Linked DNA regions of Callithrix jacchus. The protein of the gene in region 3 interacts with the protein of the main gene of each other region in a pairwise test. Links are inferred from orthologs where the notes say so. Each region holds a gene or a part of one and is shown on either strand. Other genes may lie near its edges.

Evidence for each region.
Region 1: the proteins of RASSF1 (region 3) and STK4 interact in binary tests that used the Homo sapiens proteins (3 or more experiments, as listed by UniProt). The link is inferred for Callithrix jacchus from reciprocal best matches to the Homo sapiens genes RASSF1 and STK4.
Region 2: the proteins of RASSF1 (region 3) and LATS2 come close enough for resonance energy transfer, tested with the Homo sapiens proteins (2 studies listed by BioGRID). The link is inferred for Callithrix jacchus from reciprocal best matches to the Homo sapiens genes RASSF1 and LATS2.

Annotation. Positions count from the first base shown.
Region 1 is NC_133506.1:40,326,474-40,331,983, reverse strand, and holds the start of STK4 (serine/threonine-protein kinase 4), read right to left. Parts: upstream 3,317-5,510; 5' UTR 3,252-3,316; coding exon 3,217-3,251; intron 1-3,216. UniProt on the Homo sapiens protein: Stress-activated, pro-apoptotic kinase which, following caspase-cleavage, enters the nucleus and induces chromatin condensation followed by internucleosomal DNA fragmentation.
Region 2 is NC_133506.1:140,656,086-140,661,012, forward strand, and holds part of LATS2 (serine/threonine-protein kinase LATS2), read right to left. Parts: intron 4,579-4,927; coding exon 4,446-4,578; intron 2,538-4,445; coding exon 1,123-2,537; intron 1-1,122. UniProt on the Homo sapiens protein: Negative regulator of YAP1 in the Hippo signaling pathway that plays a pivotal role in organ size control and tumor suppression by restricting proliferation and promoting apoptosis.
Region 3 is NC_133516.1:32,905,045-32,909,971, forward strand, and holds the end of RASSF1 (ras association domain-containing protein 1), read right to left. Parts: intron 3,888-4,927; exon of another isoform or gene 3,211-3,887; coding exon 3,106-3,210; intron 2,886-3,105; coding exon 2,588-2,885; intron 2,489-2,587; coding exon 2,373-2,488; intron 1,793-2,372; coding exon 1,646-1,792; 3' UTR 869-1,645; downstream 1-868. UniProt on the Homo sapiens protein: Potential tumor suppressor. Required for death receptor-dependent apoptosis. Mediates activation of STK3/MST2 and STK4/MST1 during Fas-induced apoptosis by preventing their dephosphorylation.

The DNA.
Region 1 (5,510 bases), on a different chromosome or scaffold from region 3:
ATTAGCCGGGTGTGGTGGCACGTGCCTGTGGTCCCAGCTACTTGGGAGGCTGAGGCGGAAGAATCGCTTGAACCCAGGCGGAGGTTGCAGTGAGCCGAGATTGCACCACTGCACTCCAGCCTGGCGACAGAGTAAGACTCCGTCTCAAAAAAAAAAGAATCAAGAATGTCATCAGCAATCTTTGTGAATTACCACAATAAAACAGAATTTCACCTAAAAATATTACTAAATTATCAACAAATAAGATTTCTATAAAAAATATTTTGGTAAGTGACTCATAATGATATTTTATACCATGACTCTTACAGAACAAACACTATTACCAAAATAGTCTGACTCTGATAACGCAGTTCTCTTACCTGGGACTTCCTCAGGTCCTAGACAGTCTCCAACTTGCTCATAAATGAACAAGCCTGGTCAACAAAACATTCATGGACCAAATACTGGTGGATGCTCCTCTCCTAAGTCAGATGGCCATGTAGATGGCCAGCATCCCAGGAATGCACTCTACACCTTCCACTATACCATTATCTAATAACAACTCACTTTTTAAAATTATGAATTCCTATATGAGACACCAATCTGTCATCATTCACTTAATCACATACATACAAATGTCAAACTCATGAACACAAAAGGCATTTCCTGCACTGGGGTTGTTGGAAACACATGCCATCTGAATTTCTGAAAGACACCAACATCTTTCCAAATACAAGTAATGGTGTCTATGAAGTAGTCATAGGTTTGGCTAATTCTCAAAGCTTTCTCCCATTTCAGAACTCCCATAAAGTTCATTTTATGTATAACTATCTCTTTTTCCACACAGAATTTGATATGGATTACAACAAATATATATGATAAGCTGACAAAATTTTTAATGATAATAAAACTGTGTCCCCAGCTTAACCCAATTCATATGTTGAAGTCCTATCACCCACCACTTCAGGATGTGACTGTATTTGAAGATAAGGCCTTTAAAGAGGTAATTAAGATAAAATGAGGTCATATGGGCATGCCCTAATCCAGTATGACTAGTGTTCCTATAAGAGGAGATTAGGACACAGACAAGTACAGAGGGAAGAACATGGAGACATAGCCATCTACGAGTCAAGCAAAGGCCTCAAAAGAAACAACTCTGACAATGCCTTGATTTCAGATCTCTAACCTTCAGAAAGGTGTGCAAATAAATTTCTGTTGCTTAAACCACCCAGTCCATGATACTTTGTCATGTCCTAAAAACTGATAGAAATGATAATAAAATTGATCTGCTTCAAATTAGGCAGTCTACTAGTTATAATGAGCAGGGAATCACCAGTCACTTAAGAACTCAGTCCTGTAATGCTCTTCTCTTGCACTTTTAATACATTTTTTTTAAATCCAAAAGGTACAGGAATGAGCATGCCAAGAAAGTTTAGTCCTTTGCCCAAGATTATGTAACACAAGTCAAAGGGGGAAACAAAACTCAGATTCCTAATCCCCTTTTCAATTAAAACAAGGCCTCAGAGAAAGAAACCAAGGAGAAAGAACAAACATAGTTCAGAAAGAAACATAACCAGTGTGCATTTGTAACTGGATCACTGTGGTACTATAGCAAATATTTGCTAACATACACAGAGACCTGTGAAACAGGGGTACTTTCAGAGAGGGATCAGAGTGAGGCAGTTAAAAGCATGGACTTTGGACCAGACCCCACAGATATTAAAATCCTAGCTCTGCCTCTTACTCGCTATGACTTCTCTAAGCAAATCACTACCCTGTCTGTATCTCAGTTTTATCATCTGTAAAACAGACATATAGGAATATCTACCGCACAGGATTGTTGTGAGGTTCAAATGAGTCAATAAATTGAACCATATGAAGTTACCATTTTATGGTTCAAAAATGGTCAAATATCAGCAATTTCATATGCTTCAGTAGGAGACATGGAAAGCACTTAGAAGAGTGCCTGGCACCTGGTAAGTGCAATATGAGTGTAATTAACCATTACTACTACAGTCTCAGCACACTAAGCTAGGGTGAATCCGAAGCCCATCCCAACCACCTATTTGCCTTCTGCAATGTTTGTGCACTTCAAACACCCCTAAGCTCGAACAACCCCCAAGAGTGCTGTCCAGATAGTCAATCCCTTCTCTTCACCTCTCGGTTGTCCTGCACTTCCACACCCTAAACACTTCCTTCTTTACAGTTCATTCTGCTGCAGGAAGTCAGACGTCTCTATGAAACAGAAGTAACCACACTGCACCTCAGAGAAGCATGACTCCTTCTGTCTCTACTCCCTACTTTTCTTCAGATGTGGCAGAGTGGTAAACGACCCGAAATGTCCAGAGGGGAAATCCAGGAGTTCAGATTTTCTAGGATCAGCCACCATCCTGATCTTGACCTAAAGCAATTCCAGGTACCACTAGGATCTGGCGCTGATATACACAAAACAACTGAGGTCTGAAAAGGGCACAGTCTGGCCGGGTTCAGTGACCCGGAATAAAGAAGGAAACACGTTTCCCAACTCTTCTGGACCTCGGTCTGCCCATCTCGAAAATATCCTCTTATTTCCTCACCTACCTCCCAATGTCAGGTTCTGAAGGGCTGAGGAGAACGTGAAGACCATCAGAAAGACACTCTGAACATCAGTAATAAAAGATGCCATCCTACAGTGGAGTCACCACCAACAGCATCCTCTCAAATGCTGCCCTCCACCCTCCCCTCCCTTGCTAGACCCTCAAACTCTCTTCGCATGCCTTCAGGCTTAGGCGCAAAGCTGTTCCTCTCCACAGATCCCCAAAACTGCACCCCTCAAGTGGGACTTGGGACCCTTAGAAAGTCCACCCGGCCTTCCTCTCGGCCAGTTCTCGATCTGCCCCCTTAAAAAGACCCCTCACAGGTTCTCACCCTGCTTCGGTATTCTCCCCGTTACCTCCGTGGACAGCCTTCCCCAGAGTGGCCCGGCCTCAGCAGGTACTCTCCCTAACTTGTCCCCACGTTCCTCAGCAGAGTCTCCCCGCAGCGAGTGTTCCCTCTCACCGGTCCCAAGTCTATCCCCTTAGCAGATGCTCCCCTCGCCCGGACCCTCACCCACCAGACGTCCCCCCCACTCAGCAGGTGCCCCATCAGCTGGGTCGCTTCGCTCCGGGGACTCCCACACAGGTGTCTCCCCGCAACCAGTTCCCGCCTTTTCTTCCCCCGCCCCCTTGCCTGTCCTCTTAGCTAGTGGCCCCTCACCGGCGCGGCGGATTCCTCAGCTGTACCGTCTCCATGGCGCTGCCGGCAGCCGCCCAGACCCGCTCACTGCTCCATCCTCCCCGCGGACCTCCCTATGCCCGCCCTGCAGACCCACCCACACTTCCGCTTTCCGCCCCTACCGGAAGCGGAGCGCGCCGCGGGAGCGGGGCGGAGCCACGGCCCTGATCACGTGGTTCGGGGCGCGAGTCAAGTGGCGCGGTCGGGCGCGGACCCGGAACCGCCTAGTGGTAAAGGCGCCTCCCGGCGTTGTCCGGTGGTATCTAGGGTGTCGGCGACGCTGTCTTCCTGCGATACTGGAGCGCACGAAATAGTCGGTACACGATGCACTTCTACCTGGGTCCTGGGCCCCAATTCACCGACAAAGATACATGAAGCGCGTCCATGAGAAGAGCTGACGATTCTTAGCAAACCAAGTTCTGTATGATTTTGGTGAGGCGGTGCTGCCCCAGAACCCCTGGAGGCATTTGTGGTTTCCTGCCGCTTACTTGGTTGAACTCTGGTCCCAACGGGCCCCCTGCACATTCTCTCCTCGGATTTGTTACAGAGCATCAACGTGCAAATTGCCCCACTGTTTTTCTTAAAGGCCTCCCCTTTACGTCAGTTTGCAGACATAAAAATAAGCAACATTAATTAAGCATTTGCCATGTATTTGCCTTTATATATTATCTCATTTAATCCCCCATGTCAAGCCTATAAGGTCATCCCCATTTTTATTTATTTAATGATTTAACACAGTGCCTACACGTTTTCAGTGCCTTACCTCATTTAATACTCCTAACAACCTAGAGGTATTATTATTATTCCTATTTCATAAGGCCAGAGAGGTGAAGTATCTAGCCCAAGGTCACATAGCTTAGAGTATAGGTTTGGGGATTTAAACCCAGGTTGGTCTGATTTCAGGGCCTGCACTACCAAACTGGACATCCACAGATGTTTAACCTCTTCTGGGGCCTGAGAGACAGACCTTTCTCTCCACTGTGAGTTCTCGCTTCAGCTATTGCGCTTCTGAATGCCACTACCATCAATGAATATTAGGAAAATGGCAGATTCTACCCAGTTGACCCCTGGGGAAAGTTACAGGAGAAAACTTAACCAGAGCAACCTCTCACTGTTTTTAATTGCCTTGCCTTTCCCAGGGATATTCCATCTACAGAACTTAACACCTGAGCACCCACCCTTCAGGGCCACCCAGGGATGGCATCCCATGTGCCCAAAACAGGATAAAATAAGCAACATTAATTAATCATTTGCCATGTATTTGCCTTCAAGTATTCAAGGGACTGGGTGTGATGGCGTGCATCTGTAATCTGAGCACTTTTGGAGGCCAAGGCAGGAGGATTGCTTGAGCCCAGGAGTTCAAGATCAGCCTGGGCAATGTGGCGAAACCGCTTTTCTACAAAAAAATTAGCCAGGCATGACATATTATGTAATGCCATTTGTATGACCCACATGGTCACCCTGGACCCCATGGATCAGGCCCTGCGTGATGCCACCACCACTTCTGTGCCAGGCCCCTCAGTGTGATGCAAGTTGCATGATGCTCTTTGCTATAGTGCCTTTTAATGGCATCACTTTAGAAGGTTTGGAGATGTTCAGAATAGGCAGATCTTTAGAGCCTGTGGTGGATTAGCGGCTGCCTATGGCCTGGGGGAAAGAAGCATAGATAAATTGGAGGGACTAATTAAAAGGTGTGAGATTTCATTTTGGAGTGATGAAAATGTTCTAAAATTGGTTGTGGTAATTGTTCTACAACTCTGAATATACCAAAAGGCATTGGATTGTACTCTTTCAGTGGGTGAACATATGTGAGTTACATCTCAATAAAGCTGTTTTTAAAAAAAGACACCTCTTCCTAGAAGACTTAGGTCTCTGTTCCCCTGTTCCTTCCCTGACTCTCTCATCTGTCCCTCCTTCAAATTATTTCAGTACTGTTTTATCGGTCCTGGCATTTATGGGAAGCACTGCAGGAAGGGATTTCCAGGTATTGACTGCTGTGCAAGAAACCACCCCAAAGTTCATTGGCACAGAACAATAATCTTTTTTTCTTCTCAGAAATCTACCATTTGAGCACGGCTCAACAGGAAGGCTCCTCTCTGCTTATGGTGTCAATCAGGATCAATCGGCCCTGCCCCAAATGCATCTCACACCGCTGACAGGGTGGTGCTGGCTGTTGACTGGGAGCTCACTTGGGTCTGAGGGCTGAGGGCAGCTCCACTTTTCTTGAGCTTCCTCACAAAATAAAGCTTGAGTTATTTTTTTTTTGAGATGGAGTC
Region 2 (4,927 bases), on a different chromosome or scaffold from region 3:
GAAAAAAAGCCAGGAACAGAAAGTTCTGTAAGAACACCACATGGTGCTATCCAAATGTCACATATTGTGCCATTTAAAAACAAACAAACAAACAAAAATACACCACACGTTCTCACTGATATGTGGGAGCTAAGAGAGTTGATCTCATGGGGGTAGAGAGTAGAATGACAGTTACCAGAGGTGGGAACAGTGTGTGTGCTGAGGGGAGATGGGAGGTTAACTGGTGCAAACATACAGTTGGATATTAAGAACAAACTCATTAAGTAGTGTGACCATGGTTTGTAAAAATGTATTCTATATTTGGATAGCTAGAAGAGAGGACTCAAAATGTTTCCAACACAGAAATAACAAATACACCAGGGCAATGGATACCCTAAATACCTTGACTTCATCATTACATATCCTATGCATGTAACAAAATATCGCATGTACCCCACAAAGATACAAATACTATGTATAGATAAAAAATAAACGTATAAATGAAAGATATATCTTTAAAAAGTCAATGAATATGGGACATTGGAAAGAACACAAATCTGGTTTTTAGGCTTTGGAATTATTGGCTTTGTGTGATTTAAATTTCTTACATTTTAATTTACATAATTTCGTCAATAATTACCTTCTCCAGGACTTTAGTGTCAACTAAGTTATATTTAAATAATTAGTTACTAATTAAACACTTAAAAGAATGGATCACTACTAGATATGTTTTTCTGCCCAAATCCCACAATATCAATTTATAAAACCTCAAACTTTGTTTCTACTCATTCAGAATGTTCTATTATTAATTAGTGATGAATTCTGCTACCTAAGAACATGCCCTAAAACTCAATTTGTTTACTTACCTACAATGTAATTGTAGATTAACTACATTAGGCTGGCTACATTACGCACAGCTATCTCTGATTCTTTGGAAGAGTCAAGGGGAAAGGGGAAAGGAGAAAGGGAGATCACACCATTTGCAACTTCTCCAAGTTGCTGGCCCCAAAACCAGACTGTCGCCCGTTGTTAGCTGTGTTGATAAGGGATATACAGTCCAAACAGAAAAGGGATTGTGCATGCTTCCTATTACCAGTAAACGGAAGAGCTGGGAGCAAACAGTAAGAGGAAGTGAGAAATTACTTTGGCCATTTCTTGCTCCAGCTGCAGCCTCCGGTTGACCTTCTGCTGGTAGGTTTTGATGACATTCTCCACGTGCTGCTCCATGAAAAACTTAAAGGCGTATGGCGAGTAGCTCTTGATGCGTGACTCCCTCTTCTCTTCGTCTCTGCTGTTTTTGCGGACGGGAACGGGAGAGGTCTGGATCTGCTTTTTATCCTTCCCGCCTTTGTCCGCCTTGGTGCTTTTCCGGCTCTTGTCGCCACCGTCGGGCTCGCTGGGGCCTCCACGGAGGCTCTGCTCCACGCCCGCACACAGGCTGTCCAGGTCGTACTGCTCAGACTTGCTGCGCAACAGCAGGTGCTTCGGGTAGGGCGGCGGCGGGCACCTCCGGTCTGGGCCTCCGTACTCCATGTCCAATGGGTAGGCGCCCGCGCCACCCAGCGTCAGGGCGTGCTCCTCCTTGGCATCCAGGCCCTCTGGGGCCGGGGCCGGCACAGGTGCGGGCACCCAGGCAGGGTGCGAGGGCCCCACAGCCGTCTGCGGCTCAGGCCTCAGCACACGCACGCTCTTCACCGGGTGCAGGATGTGTGCGGCCGTGACGGCCGTCACGGTGTTGGAGGCGGGAAGGGAGGGCTCAGCCTTGCCAGGAGCGCCCGACCGTGGCTGGTGGCTGTTGAAAGAGTTGGTCCTGCTGGGCACTGGGCAGTCGGGCCGGAAGGTCCCGTGCGCGCGCGGCGGCGCCTCCAGGCCCGGCTTCTGCAGGGAGTCCCGGCGGGCCAGGGTGGCGGCTGGCCACTGCTGGACGGGGGTGCTGCCCAATTCATACAGGTCCACATTGAGGCTGTTGCGAGAGGGGGTGAGCAGGCTCTGAGGGGGACTGTCGCTGGTGAACACCTGGCTGCGGGAGCCCAGCAAATGCAGCTGGTGGGCCGCTGGGCTGGCCTGCTTGTGGTGTGGGTGTGTCACGTAGATCCCGGAGGTGGGGGGCGGGAAAGCGAGGCTGGTGCCGGGAGGGCCCCCCTGGGCCTTGGCGGGAAGGCTGGCATAGCCCCCAGTCTCCGGCGGCGTCTTGCTCTGGAAGGAGGGGCTGCGCTGTACGCCGTAGCCCAAGGGCTCCGCGGGTACCAGCAGGTGTGGCCGGCCGTAGTGAGCGCCCTGCAGTGGGAAGTGCGCCCCTGCTGCCTCCACGCTGGCGCCGTAGCCCTTGGGCGGGTGCTGGTGCTGATGCTGGTGGCCAGGCCCATGGGGGCCGACTCCGGGGAAGAGGTAGTCCACATACGGCCGCGGCACCTCCTCCAGTGCCGCGGGGCCGTCAGCGCCAAAGCTTGGGCCCTCATAGGGGGCGCCGCCGCTCAGTTGGTGATAGGATGCAAAAGAATCGCGGGTTCCTTCGAAGCTGGGCCTCCGTGTCACAGGGGTTGGCATGAGCCCCTTTCCTGCAGTGGAAAAAAATGGGAAGACAGCATCAAAGTGGGTGTGATCAGTGGATTCTGGTACCTTCAGGCTGGTCCCCACTCTAGCGCTGCCCTCAGGGCTGGGGGTCTTGAACCCTGGGCCCTGATGCGCTGCATTCTGCCCAGCACAGGGTCAGTGGGCTCCCCTCTGCCCTGCCAGTCACCCTAATGTGTTAGGGCAGTGGGCGCAAAAGGGCACGCAGGGAGGCCAAGGACAGAAAAGAAGACAGCATCCCAGTCCTGAGGTGCATCCTTAACCCCTGGGGACTGTACCAGGGTCACTCTCCTGTCAGGCTAGGGAGCTGCACAGTGCCAGCTTTGTTTTCAAAACCTTATCATGCCCAAATTGTGGGAGGCTGAGTTTACCACCGCACCATTCCCAGAGTGCTGTTCCCTCACACAAAGGGCAGGACTGTATCCACTGTGCAGCGGCTGCTCCACTTTTCTTTCACCTCTTTTCCAAATTAAAACATTTTCTAGGTTTTTTGGGGGTCTGTATTAAAACAAAGCAACATATACACAACACTAACAACCACACAAAACCCCTCTAACAAATATCCAAATTGATTTCATCTGCTGCTACCTTAATCCTGACTTCCATTTTGAACACCTCCTCTGAAACAGACACCAGAAGGAAGGACGAAGGCTCCTTTCACTTCTTTAGGCCAACTGCTCTCTGCTTGGCTCGACTTGGCAGAGGGCGCCACAAGGTGGAAAGGCTGTGCCTTGCCTATAGGGAGACCACACCTGATACCTAGCAGAGTAAAGGCCCTGACAGCCTGGCACTGACCAGAGGTCACAGGCACACTAAGGCTTGGTTTTCCCTGGGCTCAGAAGATGTCAGTGAATACACACACCAAAGGCAAGTGCAGAGGGAAATCTGCAGGGAACATGGGGCCTGGCTTTCCCTTTGAGCTGTGCTCTAAGACCTCAAAACTGGAAGAATCCTGACATGGATGGCCAGCTGCAGCTGTTTAAGGAAGTTTCTTCTCTTAAAAAAAGAAAACAGAAATGTGTGTCTTCTTAACAAGGAATATTCAACTTACAAAAGTGAGATTTTTCTCACTTGCCACTTGAAGTAGGTTTCCCATAAAATAGGTAAAGCTCTTGCTAATTATTATAATTTTTCTTTTTTAAATAGAGATGAGGTCTCCCTGTGTTGCCCAGGCTGGTCTCTAACTCCTGTCTCCATCCTCTGGCCTTGGTCTCCCAAAGAGTTGGGATTACACAAGACAAAGCCAGACCAGACCAGACCAGATCAGACAGTCTTGGGATTACAGGCTTGAGCCACTGCGCCTTTATCACACCCCAGGGGCCTCAGGTACCAATCACAGATCACAGGGCCCATGTGCTCCATCCTGGGAAGGTAACATTCGCCCATAGTCAATGAAAAGCAGGGCTTTGGTGCGGTGCCTCAGGCCCTTCAAAGGGGATGCTGAGGGGGGCTCAGCTCTGCCCATGCTGCCTGCCGTCGAGCAGCCACTCTCAGAGGCTATGATGTAAGAGAGGTGTGTTTTAGAATTGAGGAAAGAAGCCACCCTTGTCAAAGATCCCTCCACAGGCCCAAGAGAAAAGTGAAAAGACCATTTTTACTCCCACTTTGCTGACTTTTTTGATCTTTCATAAAACAAGCACACACCTTCCCCTAGGTAGGAAGTACCAAGGTAATTTCACAAGCGCCGGGCGCATCCCCTGTTCTACCACCTGGGGCTGCCCCTACCAGGGCCTGGCTCTCTCAGGGCAGGGCAGGCTCAGCTTGCCTGTTACCAGAATGAGGCAATGTGCCAGGAAACTGATTCTGGCCAGGCCAGGTCGGACCTCTCTGCCCATGGTTTTGTGTCCTAAAGCCACAAACCGTCTTCGCCCACCATGCTGTGGGCCTGGGCTCACCTGGGGAGGTCTGCTTAATGACCCGAACAATCTGCTCATTCCTTGGGTCCAGGTAGCCCATCTTGCTGATGTACTCCAGGGCGGCCTCGATGCTCCTGCTACCAGTTTGCTTGAGAGCTCGGCCAGCCATCTCCTGGGAGGGAAGCAAAGGAGAGGGAAGTACACGTCATCCTAAAGCAAAGCTGCCAGGGACTCCCGTCCCCAGTCTGTGCTGCAACACTTTGCCTCTGTCACTGCTGAGAACCTGTGAAGCACTGCAGGAGACCCTCAGAATGAGTGCAGGTGGCTGTGTGTCCTGCAAGTGCTTGATGACAAAAGCCTAGCATAAGCCACACCACAGACTATTTGGCCTTCTGTTAAGGACATATGGGAATTTTGATGATAGGCAGAGATTTCGATTCTGCTTCTCCTTAGAAAAGTTTTGTGGTTGGACTGGTGAGTTCAGGATGAACCTAAAACTAGAAACATTTACGGGGAAGAAC
Region 3 (4,927 bases):
CAGCCTCTGCCTCCCAGGTTCAAGCGATTCTCTGGCCTCAGCCTCCCGAGTAGCTGGGATTACAGGCACCCCCACCGTGCCCGGCTATTTTTTTTTTTAATTTTTAGTAGAGACGGGATTTCACCATGTTGGTCTGGCTGGTCTTAAAAACCCCCGACTTCAGGTGATCCACCCTGGCCTTCCAAAGTGCTGGGATTACAGGTGTGGTGTGAGCCACTGTGCCCGCCGTTTTTTTTTTTTTGGAGACCGAGTCTTGCTCTATTCATCAGGCTGGAGTGCAGTGCTGTGATCTCCACTCACTGCAACTTTCACCTGCCAGGTTCAAGCAATTCTCCTGCCTCAGCCTCCCGAGTAGCTGGGACTAGACATGCCCACCACCATGCCCAGCTAAATTATTTTGTATTTTTGGTAGAGATGGGGTTTAGCCATGTTGGCCAGGGTGGCCTCAAACTCCTGGCCTCAAGTGATCCACCCGCTTAGGCCACTCAAAGTGCTGGGATTACAGGTGTGAGCCATCATGCCCAGGTCAGTTTCCCTAAGTTCTGACTATAGTCCATTCTTGTCCCCAACAGAACCTGAGCCTCAGGGAGCTGAGTGATGACTATATATGGATACATCTTCTTCACAAGTTGGTCCATGGTGACTTTGCCAGACACCTGTGGGCCTGTCCATCACCCTTGGCAACTTCCAGCAGCATGAGGGGCAACTGCAGCTCTGTGCCTATAATAGAGTCCAGGCTGGACACGGTGGCTCACACCTGTAAACCCAACACTTTGGGAGGCCAAGTTGGCAGGAGCCTAGGCAACACAGAGAGACTCCCATCTCTACTGTACTTTATATGTAAAAAAAAAGAGTCCAACAGCAGGAGGATCTTTAAAACTTTATTCAGCCAATTCTCTCAGGCCCCAGGCCCTGATGATGACTGTCACCCCGACCCCTTTCCCCACAGGAGCCATTCAGCTGAGGCCACCACACATTACATACATCCACACACTTCATGGAAAATACCTGAGGGAGAGACCCTGGCTTTGATTAGCAAACGAGGTATGAACCTGGGCCAGTGCCCACATTCACACAGACCCTGGCCCAGGGATATCCTCTTCCTATGAGGCATTAAGGCACTTGCTGCACTGTGAGCCAGTACTCCCTGTCCTCGGGGTGTATGAGGAGTTGGCACTGTAGAGAGAAACCAAGACTCTTCCTCAGTGCCTGCCTTATTCTGAGGACCCACCCTTAGCTCTGATAAGGATATCCTGAGACCACATTCAAGATCCAAAACCCTTCCCTATAGATGAGGGCCCTCACCCCTGCAAACATGACCCTGTTCTGTTTGTAGGGTCTCCAAGATTCTCACTTCTGAGACACAAATTGAGGAGACTTCTGTCTGCTCCACTCCTGCTCCTTCCCAGGGTAGCCCTGGCCCACCAATGCCCAGTACAGAGGGGCAGAGGGGTGCAGAGCCATACCCAGCTACACCCACAGGTGGACACAGGGGGCAAGCTCCTTCGCTGTTCTCTGGGCTCATTCCCCCAGTGGAGGAGGGCCTTCATGCACACTCATTCCACAGGTCCCACTGGCCCTGTCACACTCACACAGCACGCTCTTGGCACTGCCTGCTCTCCGCCTTCCACCTGGGAGTACAAGGTCACCCCAGGGGGCAGGCGTGCAGGGCCTCTTGGATCTTCTGGCGGCAATAGGAATACTTCTGCAGGATCTGGCGGAGGTGCGCCTCTTCCTCCCGCTGCAGGATACGCAGGAAGTTATGCAGTTCAGGCATGCTGAAGGCGTCCCACTGCAAGGGGGTAAAGGGGAATATACAGGCTACAGAAGGGATGGCCAAGCCAGCTTCTCAGAGAAGACTAGCACCTCATGTTCGTTCACACGAGTTGGACTGGGCTTTCTGATGTCAGGCTCCTGGCTGAATGAGTTCTGCTAGGATCTGTGACAGCAGTTTGTATGGAAGATGGGTCCTACAAAACAGTCACCTTACTGAGGTAACCAAATCAGATGTTCCCTGTGGACAGGTCAGGCACAATCTGGGTCTAATTCCACTTCACAGCTTCCAGGTAAAAAGTCGAATGCCTGAAGGGGCCCCTTCATGTCATTAGATGGACTCCTGCATCTCCAGAAGATTTTCCACACCAGGAAAGATCAAAGCACCAAGACAATTCTTCCTGGCCTCTTGGGACAACCCTATGCTTTGGCATGAGTGGTCTGGAAGCCTTCACTTTAGTTACAATACCTATACACTCCTAAAACTGCTTTGCAAGGCTTGTCCTCCAGCACAATTCCTCCTCCAAGCCTTACTGTAGCTACAGTCCATCAGCCCCGTCCAGTGACAACCAAGAAACTAAGAAGAACTATGTACTCACGTTCACCTCCCCAGAGTCATTTTCCTTCAGGATGAAGCTCAGGGCCTTGTCACTGGGCCCCGCCAGGAGCCGCAGCTGCAGCGGCTGCTCATCATCCGACAGCTTCCGCAAGTACACTGTGAAGGGGAAGTAATGATCAGAGACAGGCCAGCTGCTCAGTCCCTGCATGCACGGTATATACCCTCACATGAGGCAGGGTGGAGTAGGAAGCCCACCTTGGCCGTGACGCTCAGCCCGCTCAAAAAGTGCAAACTTGCGGGGGTCATCCACCACCAAGAACTTTCGTAGCAGGGCCTCAATGACCTCACGTGCCCTTGTGCGTGACAACACATGCAGGTGCTTGACAATATCCTTGGGCAGGTAAAAGGAAGTGTGGCGCCTGACACTTGCACTCCGTCCTGGGCCCTGCCGGGCATCCTGCAAGGAGGGTGGCTTCTTGCTGGAGGGCACTGAGACAGGGCGCACCAGTTTCAGCTGAACCTTGATGAAGCCTGTGTAAGAGCCGTCCTTGTTCTAAATAAATAAAGAAACCAAACCTTGACAGTAGGTTCCAGGTGAGATGAAGCACTAGGGTTCTGTCTACCTGAGGCTAGGCTGGGTATGTACTAATTACCGCTTGGTAATTACTGCCTGAGGTATCACCACCCAAGAATCCTCAGTTGTGACCCTCTGGGTATCAGGCATACAGCTGGGTACCTCCTCTCCACACCCGCTTCCTGAGCAGTCAACTCACCAAGCTCATGAAGAGGTTGCTATTGATCTGGCCATTGTACTCCTTGATCTTCTTCTCAATCTCAGCTTGAGAAAGGTCAGGTGTCTCCCATTCCACAGGCTCGTCCTGCAAGATGGGCCAGCATGGACACAGGGCCCTTGAGGAACCCAGGGCTTCTCTGAAAAAAGGCCTCTGGGGCAGTCCTTGGAAACTGACTGCCTTTGGCCCCGTCACTGATGTACATATATATAGCTGCCCAGCTGGTGCCTGCCCTGAACCCACCACTGCTTCTCGTTCTGCACACTATGAGTAGATAAGGCAAAGGCAGAATCATTTGGCTTCTGCTACCTGCCTAGTGCCTCAGCACTCAGTGTAGTCCTAAGGATACGACAGAAGCAGGGGCAACTGAAGGCAGATGGCCAGGGGCTAGGAACAGCTGAGGGACTCTAAGGAGGGGCTCTCATTTAAAGTAAAATCAGGCTGGGTGTAGTGGCTTACATACTGCAATCCCAGCACTTTGGAAGGCCAAGGTAGGAGGATCACTTGATGATCCTCAGGAGTTTGAGACCAGCTTATGTTGCTTATGAGGCAACATAGCAAGACCTCATCTCTACTAAAAAAAAAAAAAAAAAAAAAAAAGAAAAAAAATAGCCGGATGTGGTGGCGTGTGCCTGTAGTCCCAACTATTCAGGACGCTGAGGTAAGAGGATCTTTTGAGCCTGGGAGATTGTGGCTACAATCTTTGTCTTTGTGGCTAGTATTTTTGTGTCACTGTACTCCAGCCTGGGCAATTGAGTGAGACCCTGCTTCAAAAAACAGAAACAACAAAGAATAAAGTAAACACACCTCAACTGTGCATTCTAATCACAGAACCCTAGCTGAGCTGGAGTGAGGGTTTGTCCTAAAGAAGGCAGCCCATTTTTCTCCTCTGCCCCAGCACAGGGCCATGACCCACTGCAGGGTGAGAGGAGTGGAGAGTGATGCACATCAGTAGTCCAGCCATCAGTGGGCAGAGCAGTAGTATTTGGAGTCAGCTCTCCATGTCTCATACATAGTGAGAAAAATCACTGTGACGGGACCTTGAGTCAAGCTGCACAAAAGGCTTGGGTCTGGACAGCTTCCTGGTGGGTTTCTGCAGCTGCCTGTGCTGTCTGGAGATTTAGCTCAAAGATTTTTTCTTTTTTTGAGATGAAATCTTGCCCTGTCACCCAGGCTGGAGTGTGGTGGGCTTGATCTTGGCTCAGTACAACCTCCATTTCCCGGGTTCAAGTGATTCTCCTGCCTCAGCCTCTTAAGTAGCTGGGATTACAGCTAATTTGTTTTGTTTGTTTTTTTTTTTTTTGAGACGGAGTTTCACTCGTTACCCAGGCTGGAGTGCAATGGCGCGATCTCAGCTCACTGCAACCTCTGCCTCCTGGGTTCAGGCAATTCTCCTGCCTCAGCCTCCCGAGTAGCTGGGATTACAGGCACACGCCACCATGCCCAGCTAATTTTTTAAAAAAATATTTTTAGTAGAGATGGGGTTTCACCATGTTGGCCAGGCTGGTCTCAAACCCCTGACCTCAAGTGATCCGCCCACGTCAGCCTCCCAAAGTGCTGGGATTACAGGCATGAGCCACTGTCCCCGGCCCAAAGATTTTTAACTCCACCACTCACTCCCTACCTCATCTAGGGACTGGACTCTTGCCAGAAGGGTGGAGTGTGGGACAGGGCAGCCAGGGCTCTGAACTGACTTTCTTCTCTCAGACTCCCTGGGCCCACAGCAACAGCCTTACTTCCTGTTGACGTCAGATAGGCCCTAGTTAGAATGGGAGTGTCACAGACACAGCTGAATTCGGCACTG